2 linked regions of the Rattus norvegicus genome follow. The protein of the gene in region 1 interacts with the protein of each later gene in a pairwise test. Links are inferred from orthologs where the notes say so. Each region holds a gene or a part of one and is shown on either strand. Other genes may lie near its edges.

Region 1 (3,752 bases):
AATAAGGAAATTCATCTCCACCCATAAGCGTGGTAACTCCTGTCACACCTGTCTATCTGGAATCCCTAGGAATCACTCACCTGCACAGATCTGAATGTTGTAATGAAAGGTAACATGATATGATAGCCTGGTCCACTGGGGCTAGTTAGTAAAGCTCCTCCCCTGCAAAAAGATGTTTCAGTTGATAAAACTGTTAAGATCTCTTTTCAATTTAAAATGCTATAATAAACATTCCATATTCCTCATGTTACTAACCTACTACCCTCACAACAGTTATTCAACAACGGCTACTTAAAACATCCATCACCGTTAAAAATGTGAAAATTCGTCCATGTCCACTGCCAATGTTGCACCCTGTTTCATAAGCTTCACCAACCACACCTCTGGGTCTCTAGCACTGCTCTTGGGTTCAAATGATCCTCTCCGGTCTTTAGCTTTCCGATAAATACTTACGGAAAAAATTCTAATGACTCTCAATTAAGGTGCCTTAATTGCACATAACAAGAGACAAGTCAAAACAATATATTATTCACTAAGTTTATATAAGGAAAAAACAAACTTTCGAGGAAGAAGAAACTTTCTGAGGCTAATGGTTCTTTCAATACATGAGAGTAAAGTCCTGGGAACATAGTTTCTGTATAAAAGAAACAAAACCTAGCGTGGAAAGATAGACAGCAGAAGGGGTGAGATTACAGCCGAGAGATGGGTCTGTTTATCAAACTCTGAAATATGTGAACTATGAAAATATCCCCTGCCAATTAGAGGCAAATACAACAGAAAGTCCTATTTTACACAACAAATAGTAAATTCACAAAACGCTGATCCCTTTTCTGAATATACGAAAAGGTTTGAAAGTCATAATTAAAAAGATGAACCATTTCATGTCCATTAGCTATCTTTTTGGAATGGTATCTTGATATGTTCTCTTTGTGGTTTTTCTGTCAGAAAGACAAAGACAGACTGGATGGAAATGTGGTCCAGGCTGGCATTTCTTATGCTAGAACTCCATCTGTTAAGACATACCACCGAAATTGTCTATTTTCTAGGATTCTGGACAGATCTAAAAGTAGAAATACCAGTTTCGGGGACATAATGGAAATACTAAAAAATCTGCTTCAGAATTAACCACCATCCCAAATTCTCTGTAAACTCTGCAAACTGGCTTCTCTTATCAGTCTATATCACAAGGAGCTGGTGGTAATTTATACTGAAGAATAACTATGCCAAAACAAATGGACAGCAACTGAGTCCACACTCTTCCTCACCATGACTTGGAAAAAACAAGTGAGAAAGGTGGCCTGCAAATGTGGTTTTGTCTCTTGAACTTTAGGAATAGGATACTGTTGTGGTCATTAAGACTTTGGGAGACATAACCACCAGACAATGGGAGGTTTCTAATGAAGAAGAAAAACCGTAGAGTTGGGAGAACTGTCATAAATAAGGCCAGAGATCCCGAAAAACATCCACAGTGGCAAACTAAACACCTGTACAGTTGTGCGGACTACAAGGAGTCATCTGGGTTGCAGTGACTACTTCCGTACCCACCAAGGTGTCTTCACTTCTGCACAGCATGAACTTGTCACTAAACTGCCTGATACCAGAAAGGTGCCCCGCCAAAGATTAGCTCCCAGCAGCTGGGATGAAACCACTTCCCAGGGCTGGAAGCGCTCCCCTGACGCCGCGGAAAAGAGCAACTTCCTAGACTCCACTGTGACCATTGGACCCTTTCCCTGTGCTCTAGAACCATCGCTGGCTGCACAGGGCGGCGCTCACCTGTAGTACACGGCCAGGTGTCCTTCCTCGATCTTGTGGATGGAGGCGTAAAGGAGGATCGCCACCAACCCCACCACTGCAGCCACCAGAAGCCGGGCTTGAGTCATATTCATCCTTGTTCCTCCTGAGCACCGGGAGAAGAGGAACCTCAGTCCCTTGACTGACAGGCCAGCCCCCACCCAGTGAAGAGCCCGCGTACGGTCGCGGGCTGAGGCGGGAAGCCCCGCGCTCCGGCCCCTGGCTTTCTCTCAGCTAGCGCTCCCCTCACCAACCCCTAGTGCCGGCGCCCCCGGCTCGGCGTACGTCGTGACACCCCTTCCCTGGCTCCCCAAGTAGAAGGTCCCGACTGAGAACCGCCTTGGTCTCAGGCACCCGGAGAACCGCGACCCCTGAGCCTCGCCTCACCGGTCAGTGACGCATCGCCCCCGCCCGCACGTGCAGCCGCCACCCGGCCCCGCCAACTGCTGCCAACAGCCGGCCCCGCCCACCTGTCCGACACTGCGGCTGCGCGGGGACGCACGCGACGCAGCCCTCGCCCGCTAGACGGTGCGCGGGCGGGACAAAATTGGCTCGGGCGCGCGCACAGCATAGGGATTGGGAGTGCTAGTGCACAGGTCCAACCCCTCAGTGTAGGAATTGTTCCTTCTTGCTTTTGTGGTTCGGACCTAGTCAGACTGGCAAGCGCGATCTACAGGTACACTAAGGAAACGATCAGATCAGTCTCAAGGAATGAAGGGTTTGATTCCGAAGAGGAAGCTATTCGACCAGTATTAATCATTCAGACTTGGGTTGAATATTTATTTTGTGCCAGAACACTAAACCAGAGGGCTTTCTGAAAGCCACCCAGAAACAGGATCAGAATGATAAACATAAGTTGAATGTGGGGATCGGGATTGTCGTCAGGAGGCCAAAACAGTGAACAGTGAATGCTTGATTTTCTATGGTTGAAAGAAGTTGTATGGCAGGGTAGGCTAGAACCAGATTTACAAAGTCTGGGACCCGTTTTTCTGCTGATGGAAGAAATGAATGGCAAGAAAGCAACTTCATTTATGGATGTTATGCCTGCATATATGTCACTACATGTGTGTCTGGTGCCCTCAGCAGTCACAAGAGGGCATTGAATCCCCCTGGAACTGGAGTTAGACTGTTGCGAACTGCCACATTGGTGCTGGGAATTGAACCAGGATCCTCTGGAAGAGTAGCCAGTGCTCTTAACCTTTTCTCACTGTATTTTAACATTCCACACTACGTGAACCTGGTGAGATGGCTCAGTGGGTAGAGGAGTTTGTGGCAATCCTGAGGACTTCATTTCAGCCTAGATCTCACACAGCACATAAGGGCACATCACACACCAACACACACAATAATTATCATAAAAGGTTTAGGGGATAAACACGAAACAGGTTCATGTATTACAAAACAAAAACGATAAAGGAAAGGGTAAAGCCTAGAGATGTATGAACAAAGGAAATAAGGACAGAGACAAGACAGGGTTAACAAGGTTGGAAGGATTACCAAACTCCGGTGTAGGAAAATACCAGAAAGTAGTGCTTTAAGGGGTGTTGTATCTGTAACTGGGTGAGAGTGAAGAGAGACAGGAAGCTGGGAAACAGATAAACAACAGCAGGCACAAGGTCATGATGCTAGTAACAAAGGAAATGACAGGCAAGAAAATCAATTCAGGGCTTTGTAAGAGCAAATCTAGCCACACCCCTTCAATACATGCACTAACCTGTATCATGCATTTGATTTTTATTACTTAGGAATATATGGAACCTTGTCTGTTGCAGACTAATATTACAATTTAGCTATTTTCACCTCCTCCGGTCCCCTTCCCCTGCCAAAAAAAAAAAAAAAAAAAGCGGATCATGGTAGCACATGCCTGTAACCCCAGCTGGGAAGTGGAGGAAAGGAGGAGTGGGAGTTTCAAGCCAGCCTGTCCCAGAAACAAAGCAAAACAGAGCTACAAATAGGGATCA
Region 2 (3,733 bases), on another chromosome or scaffold:
AGGACAGCCTGGGCTAACAAGGCCAACTTGGGAGGGTCAGCTTCAGTCAGGATGCAAGTTGCAGTAGTGATGTTGAAAAATTACCTACAAGAAAGTCCTATCAGAGAGGGCTTATATCCAAAATATACAAAGAGACAAATAACCCTATTAAAAATGGGGTTCAGAGCTAAACAAAGAATTCACAGCTGAGGAATGCCGAATGGCTGAGAAACACCTAAAGAAATGTTCAACATCTTTAGTCATAAGGGAAATGCAAATCAAAACAACCCTGAGATTTCACCTCACACCAGTGAGAATGGCTAAGATCAAAAACTCAGGTGACAGCAGATGCTGGCGAGGATGTGGAGAAAGATGGACACTCCTCCATTGTTGGTGGGATTGCAGACTGGTACAACCATTCTGGAAATCAGTCTGGAGGTTCCTCAGAAAATTGGACATTGCATTACCTGAGGACCCAGCTATACCTCTCTTGGGCATATACCCAAAAGATGCCCAACATATAACAAAGACACGTGCTCCACTATGTTCATAGCAGCCTTATTTATAATAGCCAGAAGCTGGAAAGAACCCAGATGCCCTTCAACAGAGGAATGGATACAGAAAATGTGGTACATCTACACAATGGAATGTTACTCAGCTATCAAAAGCAATGACTTTATGAAATTCGTAGGCAAATGGTTGGATCTGGAAAATATCATCCTGAGTGAGGTAACCCAATCACAGAAAAACACACATGGTATGCACTCATTGATAAGTGGCTATTAGCCCAAATGCTTGAATTACCCTAGATACACAGAACACATGAAACTCAAGAAGGATGACCAAAATGTGAATGCTTCACTCCTTCTTTAAAAGGGGAACAAGAATACCCTTGGCAAGGAATAGGGAGGCAAAGTTCAGAACAGAGACTGAACGAATACCCATTCAGAGCCTGCCCCACATGTGGCCCATACATATACAGCCACCCAATAAGACAAGATTGATGAAGCAAAGAAGTGCAGGCTGACAGGAGCCGGATGTAGATCTCTCCTGAGAGACACAGCCAGAATATGGCAAATACATAGGCGAATGCCAGCAGTAAACCACTGAACTGAGAATGGGACCCCCGTTGAAGGAATCAGAGAAAGAACTGGAAGAGCTTGAAGGGGCTCGAGACCCCATATGTACAACAATGCCAAGCAACCAGAGCTTCCAGGGACTAAGCCACTACCTAAAGACTATACATGGACTGACCCTGGACTCTGACCTCATAGGTAGCAATGAATATCCTAGTAAGAGCACCAGTGGAAGGGGAAGCCCTGGGTCCTGCTAAGACTGACCCCCAGTGAACTAGATTGTTGGGGGGAGGGCAGTAATGGGGGAAGGATGGGGAGGGGAACACCCATATAGAAGAGAAGGGGGAGGGGTTAGAGGGATGTTGGCCTGGAAACTGGGAAAGGGAATAACAACCAAAATATAAATAAGAAATACCCAAGTTAATAAAGATGAAAAAAATCCTATCAGCTTCTGGAAGGTCTATAACTGAACTATAGGCAGAAAATAATAATAATAATAATAATAATAATAATAATAATAATAATAATAAAAAATCCCAGAGATCTTCTCTTCATCTTCCTTGAGAAGGTCCAAAAATACTTCAGATTCTTTTATAATCTTTGAAGAAAAGTTAGGGAAAGTTAATCTGGAGAAAATATTTGGAAAATTCTTGATGTTAGAACCAGAGATGAACAGATAAAAATCTACATCAAGAAAAGGGAGAGGGTGTGTAACTTCAATATTCGTGTTATTTTAGGTCAAGTTCACAGTTGAGGATGAACCTTATAATCTCTAATTTCTAGCATCTATGCATTTATTACATAACTATGTACTATTGTCAAGCACATTTTTATATTCAATTAAGAAACTTTTGTTAGATGTTGCAAAAATTGTACTGACTGTATTCAAAACAATATAGCTTGTCTACGGTTGTTCGGGACTCAGTGACGCTTCCCTTGGTCTGAGTGTGTCTCGTTGAGAACCCTTAAGTTCCAGATGTAGGGGACAGGCATTGGGAAGAACTTGTTCTTAGGTTACTTGTTCTTAGGTTCTTAGGTTAGGTTCTTTTAAGAAGCACCAACCCTGCTGTCTACCAGGAGGCTTTAACAGCATTGGCCAATTAGCACTCTCTAACTCTAGGCTTGTACTTTTGAAAAGGAATTTAACATAAACCACTTACTTTAATATTGCAATCTTCTGTATTTTAAAATAAAACTTTAGGGGCGAGAGAGATGGCTCAGTAGTTAAGAGTACTGACTGCTCTTCTAAAAGACCTGGGTTCAGTTCCCAATGCCCACATGGCAAATCACACCTGTCAGTTCCAGGGGGATCCGACATCCACACACAGTCATACATGCAGGCAAAACACCAGCGCACATGAAATAAATTAAAGAAATAAAAAAAAAACAAGTAAAGCCTTAAAAATACAAGGAAGCATTGTTGTTAGCGCCTGATTTTTTTTTAAAACGAGATCATTATCAAATAAGTTTAACTTACTCTATTATTAATAGGAATTGAGAGTTAAACCATGAAGCCAGCCCAGGAAGCCAAGTCAGTAGCAGCAACGGAATATAGCATTATTTCACATCTCACGCTTCTAAGAGTCTTACTTTTAAATAGAAAAAAATTAATTGTTTCAATAGAGCAGAGGTTGAAAGACTGAACAGTGAGTAGTCTGGAAGTTTTGCCTGCTTACCTGAGCGGCCCAGCGATCTTGTTAGAAATGTACTTTGAGTGTCACTCGTTACAAAGGGGTGTGGATTTATAGACACACACCTGACCTACAACTTCACCTGCATGGCAACAAGAGCGCTCTCACCTGTGTGCTCACAAACAGAGGCTTGTCCAAAGAACTTGGCTTCTTTCCAGTTCTCAGGCTTTGGAGGAGAACGTGCTCCTCGCTCTAAATTAGGATCACATGTCTTTATAAATGACACTAAAGACTTCTTTATGCTTTTCTCTCTCTACCTTTCACTTTCCAAGGTAAGTGGACATTTGGCTAGGTTTCAGCACTGCAAGAAAAAGGAAAGAAAATGGCGGGGGGTGGGGGGAGGAAGGGGGCAGGGGATGAATGTAGAAACCGTGTGTACTCCATTGTTCCCAATGGGAGTTCAGCAAGCTTTGTGGATTACACACAAAGAAAGTAGAAATTCTTCAGGGTGACTCAGATTGCAGGAATATAATAAAGAGCTAAAGAGATCAGAGTTTCTGTCTTTCCTTCCTTCTTTTTCGCTCAAAGAGAGAGAGATGCTTTAAATTTTTTAAAAATATTTTGATAACCAAATAATGATTTGGTTATTTTCTGCAGTCCTTCTTGTTTGTTTTAGATATTGTTATATACTGTGAATTTATCTCATTTAGTTCTAGAGAATAACTGTGTCTCACTGATTTGCAGTGAAATTCCTCAAAGTTGAACAATGGGATCTACAGGGTGTGAGCAGATGGGCTCCCCGATACCATCTGTCCCTCCAGCCTCTAGTATGATGACACAGTCCGTTTTCTAACACTTGCCAACTGGAGACATCAAGTCTTAGAAGTTTCTTCTAGAATATTTAGGTTAGATGTTTCTAGCTCAGTTCAAACTCCATGAGGATGTCCTGGAATGGGGAGCTAGAGGGACGGAAACAGGGGGAATGTGGAGCAAGGGATGGAGGGAGAGACTAATGGGAGAGATCACTGGAACTAAGGGCCATTTTGA

What was found.
Region 2: the proteins of Erlin1 (region 1) and Agr3 interact in binary tests that used the Homo sapiens proteins (3 or more experiments, as listed by UniProt). The two-hybrid records come from large-scale screens. The link is inferred for Rattus norvegicus from reciprocal best matches to the Homo sapiens genes ERLIN1 and AGR3.

What each region holds. Positions count from the first base shown.
Region 1 is NC_086019.1:252,903,415-252,907,166, forward strand, and holds the start of Erlin1 (erlin-1), read right to left. Parts: upstream 2,268-3,752; 5' UTR 2,179-2,267; exon of another isoform or gene 2,046-2,178; intron 1,898-2,045; 5' UTR 1,887-1,897; coding exon 1,774-1,886; intron 163-1,773; coding exon 81-162; intron 1-80. UniProt on the Homo sapiens protein: Component of the ERLIN1/ERLIN2 complex which mediates the endoplasmic reticulum-associated degradation (ERAD) of inositol 1,4,5-trisphosphate receptors (IP3Rs).
Region 2 is NC_086024.1:58,369,805-58,373,537, reverse strand, and holds the start of Agr3 (anterior gradient protein 3 precursor), read right to left. Parts: upstream 2,838-3,733; 5' UTR 2,732-2,837; intron 1-2,731. UniProt on the Homo sapiens protein: Required for calcium-mediated regulation of ciliary beat frequency and mucociliary clearance in the airway. Might be involved in the regulation of intracellular calcium in tracheal epithelial cells.